Linked DNA regions of Caenorhabditis elegans. The protein of the gene in region 1 interacts with the protein of each later gene in a pairwise test. Each region holds a gene or a part of one and is shown in the gene's direction. Other genes may lie near its edges.

The links.
Region 2: the proteins of E02H4.2 (region 1) and ZK973.9 interact in a two-hybrid assay, tested with the Caenorhabditis elegans proteins (one large-scale study listed by BioGRID).

The regions. Positions count from the first base shown.
Region 1 is NC_003284.9:14,276,484-14,283,409, reverse strand, and holds E02H4.2 (MIF4G domain-containing protein), read left to right. Parts: upstream 1-1,783; 5' UTR 1,784-1,810; coding exon 1,811-1,927; intron 1,928-2,356; coding exon 2,357-2,518; intron 2,519-2,572; coding exon 2,573-2,635; intron 2,636-2,678; coding exon 2,679-2,774; intron 2,775-2,867; coding exon 2,868-2,984; intron 2,985-3,780; coding exon 3,781-3,864; intron 3,865-3,907; coding exon 3,908-4,124; intron 4,125-4,178; coding exon 4,179-4,947; intron 4,948-4,995; coding exon 4,996-5,085; intron 5,086-5,189; coding exon 5,190-5,246; intron 5,247-5,293; coding exon 5,294-5,374; intron 5,375-6,012; coding exon 6,013-6,046; 3' UTR 6,047-6,288; downstream 6,289-6,926. Other genes in the region: Degenerin del-1, read right to left, coding at 6,370-6,524, 6,576-6,700, 6,884-6,926.
Region 2 is NC_003279.8:4,369,667-4,373,867, reverse strand, and holds ZK973.9 (SS18 N-terminal domain-containing protein), read left to right. Parts: upstream 1-1,729; 5' UTR 1,730-1,756; coding exon 1,757-1,852; intron 1,853-2,455; coding exon 2,456-2,969; intron 2,970-3,173; coding exon 3,174-3,265; 3' UTR 3,266-3,449; downstream 3,450-4,201. Other genes in the region: cec-10 (Chromo domain-containing protein), read right to left, coding at 1-5, 55-204; lpd-5 (NADH dehydrogenase [ubiquinone] iron-sulfur protein 4, mitochondrial), read left to right, coding at 850-999, 1,102-1,298, 1,345-1,528; pdp-1 (PPM-type phosphatase domain-containing protein), read right to left, coding at 3,595-3,696, 4,093-4,201.

The DNA.
Region 1 (6,926 bases):
GCATTTGTTTTTTTGTGAAGTTTTTTCCCAACAAAAGATGTACGCGGAACGTTTTCACAAATTGACATTGTTTTGTTTTCCCTAAAACCATTAACTTCCGACATGTCTCTGTTGGCTTTTCTTCTAGTCACCATCAAGACGACATAACATTTCAATGTATAAAATGGAATTAACAAATTTTATTGAAACTTCAATTTTCTCTTGTAGTTTTGTATCAAAGTGCCTAACTTTGTTTCAAAAAATTTCCACACTAACATTCAATCAAAGGTATTTTTAAACTTCGAGCTAGAAGTTTGTATTTTTGTTTCAAAATACATCATCTTACTTTATTCTTTTCTAGTTGCAAAATCCTAAAGTTCAAATGATGCATAATTGAGTGTATGCTTGTTCAGTTTTGCTGCATATTACCAAAACTAATTATGCTTCTGATTGTTTTAAGGTTACAACACTTTGAATTTGCGTCAATTGTTTTACAATTCTTTATATAGATTTTTAATTGAGTTAAAAATCACCGACTTCCGTTTTAAAATGCCCCTATTCTTACAAAAATTTTAAATTGAATTATCCGCACAATTTATTGTGTGCCATGCCTGTTTATATTACCAAACTGTCATATTTTCTTATGCACTGTAATTTTAACAATGTAAAGTTTTTCACTCGACGTACTATTTTTTTTTGAATTGCAGTAAATTTTGCAATATTTTTGTTTTTGAAAAACTGGCAACCTGAGGAAAACGGAACTGTTTTGTAACTTCAAAGAAGCAATTTTAGAAATTTGCAAAAGTCTGAATTCTAAAATTCTAGTTCAAATCCTTGTGATGTATAAATTATCCTGTCATCTTGGAGATTTTGGATAACATTTTGAATGTATCAAAATGTTAGAATCTGGTTTCTCGTGAAAAATTAAATTTCATTACATCTCAGAATGTTTCACGATTTTGATCTACATCTAATATATATAACAGGTAAACTTGTTCAAAAATTGATTTTATAATAGTTTATATTATGGGCAGCCCGTGAAGCTTGAAATGAGTAATTTAAAAAAATAAATCCGCTGCACGTTTAGCTTAATACTTGAAAAAAAGTTGAACAGTTCTATCTCATCAAATACATCTTTAATCTCTTTTTTTTTGACTTTTGCTTTGTTGCCATAAAGCTATTTCAAAATTGTACCATATGGCAAATGAATGCTTTTAAGGTTTGTTGTTGAACAAGAATATTCGTTAGCCCTCTTTTCGGAAATGTATGCGCTTACATATGATCTTTCAAAACTCCGCCTCTTTTCTGTCTGCGCCATAGCTTCTCTGTGCTCTCTTTTCTACAGTCAAATGTCTTATGCTCATTTTTTTTCAGTTGTGGATCTTGATGTCTCCTCCTTTCCGTTCTCTCGATTTTATTTTTTGCTATTCTTTGGAAAGGCGTCAATTTATTATAGGCAACGCGTGAGCTAAATTTTGAACTTTAGTATAAAAAAAGCGACGAAACAATGCGATACAAAAGCTTGTTCTCATTTACAAAACTGACATTTTACGTAGAGACTCAAGTCTTGGCAAAATTTTAATCACACGAAATTTTATAAAAGTCTGAAAAAAGCTGTGAATAATTTAGATAGCCTCGAACACATGCAGAAGTGTGCAAAACTGATAGAATGCTAATATAATGTTTGAAAATTTTTAACAGTGTGTACCTAGATTTAGTCACTAAAGTATGTGCTATGTTACAATTCTTCTATTTTTTTTTCATATATCCTTTTATTCACTGGTGGGCCATAAAAATATATCTCAGATTGATCATATTTAAATCTCAAACGATGGAAGCCAATTCTAACAGAATAAGCTTTGTGAACCCAACTCAGACCCCACAATACGGTTTAAATGAAGAATTCAAAGGAGATCCACAGTCAACGATTAAAAGTCCAGAAACGCGGGTATGTTTTTTTTCAATCTTTTGAGAGATATAAACTGTGCTTGTTTTAAAGTAAATGGAAAAAATATGAGACATGGTCTTGCGAGCATTTTTTGTTTTTGCCAGTTTAGTGGGGATGAATGTTTACCACTGTCCTTAATTTTGTGACAGATGTTCTTCCTCGTACCGCACCGGCACGAGCACTGGCCGGTGTTTTTTTTTCAAAATCTCCACTCACACTAAAACATGAATAACACCAGTTGCTTTTGTTGATTAATGCTCGATTTTCAAGTTATGCAAAAAAAAAAATTAAGGGACTTAATGAAAATGCGTGCAATGAAAATGAAAGAGTATTTTGCTGTGCTCACATGGAGATACAGAATATCATTGGTTCATCCTCACCCAAAAATTTAAAAATTTTTAATTTATAATATTTTGAGTGGATTTCCAGCTTCCTGCCAAGTATGAACGTTTTGCTCCACAGATGACTACATACTACACATTCCCTCCAGCGAACCCGGCGTTTTTCTCGCAACCGATGTATCCCCAAAGTTCGTGGATTCCGGAAACTCAAAATCCTTTAGTGTATTTTCAAGGTGCTCCCGTGGTGCAGGTAATTTAAACCAGATAATTATAAATTTAAATGTTGTTTCATGTTTGAATTCAGGATTATTCTACATTTTCATCAGCCCCATACCCATCTCAACCACCCAATAATTGGAATGTTCAGGTTCGGACTTTTATTGACACATTTCGAAATTAAAATGTTACAGAATTTTACAAGCTACCAATATGCAAACCAAAATCACCCAGCACAACTGCCACATCAAAAATACTACAATTCCGAGCAATATGCTTTACAAAGTCAGGTAAAAATCAGAATTTCAATTGAGAACAATTACGTGGCATTCCACATTTTTTAAACCTACCATAATCAGACCATGGACGGAAAATTTATTCAGCCATGTAATCAATACCAAATGAACAAGTTGTGTTGTGTATCTCCTCCTTATCAGTACCAACCAAGGACTCCAAATGCTCAAAGCTCGCCGAACCTGAAGGACCTGAATTATTTGGATGTAAGAAAGAAGTTTAATGTTTTACAATTAAATTGAATACGTTCAGTAAAAAAGTAGTGATTTTGGAAGTTATTGTAATAAAAAAAATAGGTCGGAATGAAAAATATAAAAGGTTGACTCAGAAAACTCGAAAGCTGATGCTCACTTAAAAAAAATCGGAATTTTCCTGCAATCGGCAATTTTGGCAATTGTCAGTTTTCAAATATTTTGGCAATTTTGGCGATTGTCGGTTTTCAAATATTTCGGCAATCGGGGATTCCGAAAATTGCCGAAATTGCTGATTGCCGGACATTTTCGGCAATTTTCAAACATAATTATAACTCAAAAAATGAAAAAAAAAATCACCTTGTTAGTATTTGGTTAGTCATTTTCTAATAGATAACGGCCAAAACTTTCAGGATTTAAACATTTTAAGCTTGAAAAGAAAACATCTTCTTTTAAATGCATGTTTAGACTCAAAAATTTACAAAACGTATTAAATTTATGTTCCCGGCAATTCTGGCTTCCGGCAATCGGTAATTCCGACAATTGCCGGTTTTCAACATTTTCGGCAATCGGCAATTGCGGCAATTGCCAAAACTGCCGAAATTGGCGAAAATTCGATTGCCAAACGACAATTGCCGCCACCTCTGTTTCAAATGTAATTTTGCCCTTTCCGTAAAAAAATAATCAATACGTTCATTGTTCATCTCTCCTTGAGATCGTAACAAAACTACCTAAGTGAAATATAATTTTATTTAAATTTTAACTAGTGTCAAAAAAAAAAATTTCATGAAAATCTTAATCATCTTTACAGCATTTGACTCCGTTTTTATTCCCACCGGACATTACTTCTCAATACAGAAAACATAATTGCCGAGGAAACAACCGTAACTCCAAGGTATCAATATTGATTTATTTCATTTTTGAATTGAGTTATTTAGACTAGCAATTTCCGGAGAAACGACAGGAAAAACCAACATGGCCATAACCAAAACCGTTCAAATCAAGTATCCAGACAGCATTTGCCAAACAATAATGCATCATCTTCATCCTCCTCATCAGGTGTCGTTTCCGAATTACCGCTGTCTCCTAACAAGACTGAGCTTAAAATTGTCATATCTCATGGAAATGAAACAGTTTGTGTTCTGAAAACAAAAGGTAACAAGAGTCCGATACAATTTTTTTCTGTTTTTAAATTCATCTCTCGTTCAGATATTGATGGATGCAACGCTCAACAACTTTCGAATGTTGTTGAAATTCCTATGGTACTTGCTCCCTCCCTCTCAATACAATCTACTGACTCGTTCAACTCGGCTTACGAAGATGCCGAAGAATCTTTAATTCAACCACAAACTAAAAAGAATGAAGGTGACGCTTATGGAAAATATAATTCAACGCTCACAAATTGTCAAACAAGGAACCAATCGGAGAAAATGAAATCATCGCAATGCTTGATCGCAGATGTCGCCGAGAATGAGAGCCCGAATGAGACAGGGCCTGCTGAATTCAATATTTTTTGTACTGTACCGGAACAATCTTCTAAACGCTCAGAGCCCGACGTTATAGTTTCTGCTGCAAAATCAGTTACTGAAGTTGAAAATACAATACTTGCTGAACATGATACCGCTACTGCTGAAAACTTTTCGAACAACGATGAACCAATTCTTCTTAGCGTTACTAATCTTCACGATGAAACAAATAACAAATCAATAGATGTATCACTGAATCACCCATTGCCACCTTCGACAGAAACTGGAGTTGTCAGCGGCAAAGTTTCACAATTGGAGGCACCAATCAGTACAATTGTGCAGGAAACGATCCGAATCCTCGCCGAGAGAAATCTACTCCGTGACATCAATGACTTTCATCAAGAAATACATTTGAATGTCATGCAAGAAAATATTGGACAGTCTCTAGATCATGCTGCAATAGAAAATGAGGAACATCCAGAAACTGAAAGTTCCTTTGAAAGTTCAAGCGGGTAAGTTTTTTTAAAATGAAATTTCTTACGAATATTATGATACTCCAGTAGTTCCAACCCTTCTGTCCCCATTGAGATTGATCAAAAAATGCAATTCAACAAAAACAATCCATGGGAAAAATTGGAACAATATACTCCGTGAGTTTACAATAAATATTAATTGAAAACAAATTATTATTTTTGACATTCATGAAATTCAATTTAAGTTCTGAGTTCAACCGCCATTGTCATTAAAATTTCAGACCTTCAATCATTATAGTCTCGTGCGCAGATTCTTCACAAAGCCCACACAAAGCTTCGTAAGTTGACAACGGAAGTATTTTTTATAATGCACATCATGTTTTAGAACTCTCAAAAACCCCGGTTACGGCTGCTGTTCGGGCATTGGCAAGAAATCAAAATACAATAAGAAAGTTGACAAGAAAGAGTGAGTTGAACTAATGTGAAGAATGGTAAACTTGCATACAAACCAGACTTTTAGTCCTGAAAACGATGTTACAAGAATAACATAGGCATAGCTGTTTCGGAGTAAACCCCGGCCCTGATACTGAATAGGAACTAAAAAAAATATTTTACTTATTCACTCATTTGTTACTGAATCATTAACACTTATTAAAAAACCACCTGATCATGAGAATGCATACCGTTCTGGCGCGCGAATATCTCGTAGCGAAGGCACCTAAATCTTACATTTTTGAATGATATCTCGTTGCCGCTTTTTTTTTTCAGAAAATAGGCATTCTCATGAATTCGTGGTTTTTTAATAATTAATCATTCAAATGTGGCGAAAACATCTTGATAGTTTTTTCCTTTTTTTCCTGGGCAGTTATGTTGTCTGTGTACTCTACAGGTTCACTTCTCTCTACAGGCTCACAGGCCATTCTCGAGGGAAAACCTGTCAAGATGTTGTAACGTAGAAATTGAATGTATCAACTATGTTGGTGTAATAACTACTAACTAGCATAGTTGGTACATCATCAATCTTTATGACGTTGGTCGGAAGGATTCATGGCACTACTGATTTGACGTGAAAGTGGATAACGGGACTGAAAATAAATTTTACAGAGTTCTCCACTTGACAAACTTTCAACTAAACTAAGCAACGGAGCTGTGCGTTTCATTCTATCTGTTTTTGTGTTTTTTAGCTCATTCTCATTTTCCTGTATTCTTCAATTACTTTGTTTGTATAATTTTCGTTTAGCAAAATTTGGAATCCCAGTTCGAAATCCGGCCACACAAATCTTCTCTTCAACATTATGTGTATTCAACAGCAACCTTTCCATGTTTTCTCTTGAATATCAACTTTTTACGGTCAAAGTTGATCAAAATAAAATGTATCTTCTTGTGGATTTTTTATGAGCCCGAGTAGACTGTTTGAAAAAAACCTGTTTATTCACATTTGAATTCCACAGAGATCAAAAATCAATTATTATTTGTGGATACTCCTTTTTCCGCATCATTCAATTCTTCAGCTCGTAATAATTCCGTTTTCTGCCTCCATCTTCTTGGCTTACATGCAATTCCAAGAGTTCGGACAGCGAAGAATAAAAACTCAATCACGCTCATAATGCTTGCGCCTGAAAAATTCACTTTTTGAATTGCGAGTTACTCAAATTGTTTAAAATCACCTAAAAACAAGCCAGCTTGGCCACCCATATCGGCCATCAAGTTGAACCAAGAATACGACTCAGATTCTCTCAATATCTCATAGCTCATTTGTTCATAATAAATTTCAATCATTGCGGCGTGTTCTCTGAAAATCGATTTTTTGTCATTAACTGTCAACTAATTTATTTGAGAATAAATGTATTTTAGAAACAAAACCATTTTTCAAGTTACATGTTATATCCAAAAATTCTTTAAAAAAATGTTTTCTGATATTTGCCGAGACATGATTATTATCAGGTTTTTACATAGAGTTTAAAACAGTGCAAACCTTAAATAAGAATTGCAATCTTTTGAATGATTGTCACACGATG
Region 2 (4,201 bases), on another chromosome or scaffold:
TCGACCTGAAAAAAAGTTGAATGTATTTCTGTTTCAGTCAAATTGCAGTATTACCACCCAGTGATCCTCGTCTATTTCTTCTTCTTCTTCATCTTCTTCGTCTTCCTCACCTCCTTGTTCATCTTCTTCTGATTCTTCCAATGTTTGAACCGAGCTTTCCTCTTCAGTGTCTACGTTGACTTGGGTCTCGCTGGAGCTTGACATTCTGAAAACTAAAACAAGTGTTGTGAAAGCGGTAATTTAAGAGTGGTTACAAGTGTAAAAACTGACAATTTTCATGAAGTTTATTATCCAAGAACATTAAAAGGTGGTTGAGGTCAGAAGAACAGCTCACAAGAGAATTAGAAAGGATATTACAACGGGAGACAAAGGGTGAAGAATGTACTTAGACTGTAAGGCAATCATTGTGATAAATATTAAAAGTGACATGAGTCACAAGAAGGGAATGGTATGTGTTCTCGTACAAGCACTAGCTGTCAAAAAAATCAAAACACAATGGGGTCTCGTGAATTATGAGAAATTCTATTAGGAAATACTTTTAAATTGATTAATTAAATGTAAAAGAACAATCTGTATGGTTTAAATTGAATTATAGTTTTATTGAATTATAGTTTTAGACCTAAAATTATGAACGAATTAAAAAATGAATTCAGCTCAAAAAACATCTGATTTACGATAAACAACACGCGGTACCGTTATACCGGAGTGTCGTTGAAAACGCGAACATTTTTTTTATTTTCATATTTTTTCCTCTCAATTTATTGATTTTAATTAAATATTCTTTTCTATTTTTTCTAATCCGTCACAGTATTGTAATTTTAAATTATTTATTAATGGAGTAATTTACAGATGCTTCGTGCTGGAGCCTCTCGTTGCCTTTCGGCGGGAAACACGGCTTTCCGTTGCCTCTCGACTGGAAAGGACAACCTACCGGTCACAAGATCGCATGATGCCAAAAAGGTTGAGCTCAACGATATTCTTGACAAACCGTCTCAAAAAGTAAGATTTAAATGTTGATTTTTCCTGTTTTAATACACGAAATTCAGCGAATTGCACTTAAATTGTTTATACTTGACATTTTTATTGAAATAAATATTTCAGACTCCAGTAAAAGTATCATCCGATGAGACAATGGATATCGGAGGTGTTCCACTTGATCACCAAGATGCCCGTACCGCTCGCATCTTCCGTCCAGCAAGAGAGACTACACAAAGTGCTTGGGGTAATACCAAGTCCTGGACCATTGAGCTGGATAATCGTCAAAGATGGGAAAATCCATTGATGGGATGGTCTGGAACGTGAGTAGCATCTTAATGAAGTTTAAAGTTTAAAAAAAAAATTTAGTGCGGATCCACTCTCCAATGTTGGAATGGATCTCAAGTTTGCCACAAAAGAGGACGCTATCGCTTTCTGTGAAAAGAATCGCTGGGAGTTTGACGTCGAGGAGCCACATGAGCGCAAGATTAAGCCAAAGAATTACGGACAAAACTTCTCATGGAACAGAAGAACCAGAATTGGAACTAAGTAAATTTCTATTAAAAGACGAAGTAAACTGAACCGCTTCTATTTAGATTTTGTTTTTTTTTGTGTAGAAAATGAAGATTTATCTCGATATTGTACTGAAAACTATTATTGTATTGGTTTCTTGTTGGTTTCAAAAATATCCAACTTGTATTTTTTTAAAATTTGATTTCCCTGTTTATTTTCTATATTTCTTATAAATCACCAGATGTCAACGGCACATCTACCTCCAGCGATGCGAACAAATGTTCCAGATCAACAGTCAACTGTGCAGAAGTTACTCGATGAAAACTCAAGGCTGATCGATATTATACAGGAATATTTAAATCAGGTTTGTTTGTTTTTTTTTGCAAAAAAGGAGTACCTTAAAATACTCACTATTCCCAAATGCCGAAATACCACAAAAGAAAATCGTAAAAATTGCTAAGTATGAAAAAAAAGATGATTTTGGCGATTTTTCAACTGTTCCTCATTTGAATTACCGCACTATGGTCTATAAATACCGTCCATAGAACCGTGTCGCACTTTTCAATTTTGGCACAAATTTATCTTTTTTGTGTTGTTTTTCTAATTTTTAATAAAGAAATACGTCATAAATGTGCAAAATTGTTTTTAAAAAATCGTATCGATTTTGTTAAATTTCGCGGAACTCTATAGAGCTCTACAATAACAATGTTTTTTTTCTATTGAATAATTTTTAAATACAAAAAAAAAACGTTTATGACCTTTTTATTCATTAAAAATTAGAAAAAAACACAAAAAATTCTGCCTCAAAATTGAAGTGCGGAATGGCTCCATGGGCGGAGTTTAGAGACCATAGAGCGGTAATTCAAACGATTTTTCAGATTTAATGGAATTTTTTCGTTTTTTAAAAATTTATTTCGAAATTCGAGCACCGATTACTCCTCCTCTAATCATAAAAAAATCATTTCAGAGCCGTGCTGACGAAGCCATCAAACACCAACAACTTTTACATCGGAACTTGTTACATCTTTCAAATCTCGCAGACCCATTCCTTCTAAGCCAGCTGAAAGATGATGGTACCGCTGCTGCCGCTCTTCCAGATCCTAACCAACAACAGCCTCAACCCGGAGCTTCTGGTCCTCCGGCACCACATCTCCAACAACAACAACCACAACATTCACCACAACAAGGCCATCCACATCCTCAACAAGGACTTCCTGCCGCTCACCATCGTCAACAAATGATGCCACCACAGGCGGCACCAAGTCCAGGTGGTCCAATGCAGCCGCCTCACGGATTTGCTCCTCCGCCAATGGGTGGTGGTGTACCACCCGAGATGATGAATCATCAAGCTTATCAAGCACAAATGCGGCAGCAGCAACAACAGCCTAATGGACAAGCTCCGCCACCTGTGTATCCACCGTTTGGACAGCCAGCACCGCAGATGAGTGGACAGCGAATGCCTTATCCTTACCCGCCGCAAGGTAATTATTGTGGAAAAATACCTTATTTGAGTTAAAAAATTCCCAGAATTTCCCGAAAAAATAAAAATTGGTGAAAAAAAACTTCAGGGGAATTTTGGCCTTTTTGTACATTCTAAAAATAATTCTGAAATTTTTATATCCCAATCCAATCTCAAAGATTCTGCACCTCAAACTATAAATTCACTGAAATTTATTTTCTTTCAGGAATGCCTGGATATCCTGGAGGTCCACCACCACCACCACACGGATACGAAGGATATCCTCCACCAGGAGCCCAGCCAGGATACATGCGATAATCGACAGATCTCCAACTCCAAAATTTCACCAAATTGTCAAACATAACATCTCATTCCTTTGTCTCACTTTGATATGTACTAACTGAATCATTAAATTATTGTGATTGTATGTTTTTTTTTCGATGTGAGAAAAGAAAAGAATCATTGATCTTGAGCACCAATTAACAATAAATGCAACTATTATATACAAGAAAAGATACCTAGACAAAGACCGGGGAGACTCTTTGGCATAAAGTCGTCGTCTCTACAGAGGGGAGATTACAAAAATTAAAATAGGGATAATACCAGTAAAGACTATAAAAATGTGTGCATGGCATTAATTTTAAGAGTTATTCTTCATCGTCTTCGTGACCGTCGAGGAAGGTTTCATTGAAATGGATCACAATAACAGTGATGTCGTCACGATAGTTACGTGCTCGGCCGGGAGGGACCTGAAAAAATAATTTTTATTAAAAAAAAATCATAATGTTACAATCTTTCACCGTGCCTACTTAAAGGCGCACAGATTAATTCAGATGGGTCTCGGCGCGCAAAAAAGTTTATGGTAATTATTTGCAAATTTTTGCGATTTGTTTATTTTCCTTGCAGTTTTCTATAAAATTACTTTTTTTACGCTGCGCGCTGAGACCCATTTGAATAAATCCGTGTGCCTTTGTGAAGGTAATCTCGTGAAATTACGGGATTTCGCTTCAAAGTTTTAAAAAAAGACGTAGCAGGGAAATTTGTTACGAAAATTAAAAAATCTCCATTTTTTCGTTTTATTTCCGATTTTCTAACTATTTTAGATTTTTGAAGCAAAATGCCGATTCACTCCACCAAAAAGTTACCTGTAGAATATCAATAAGCCTCTCATATTGTTTTGTCGCTCCTCCACTAACACCTCCTAACGCATGACGAATGATGTGTGTCGCACAGTTCTCATCGATCGGCTTCTTC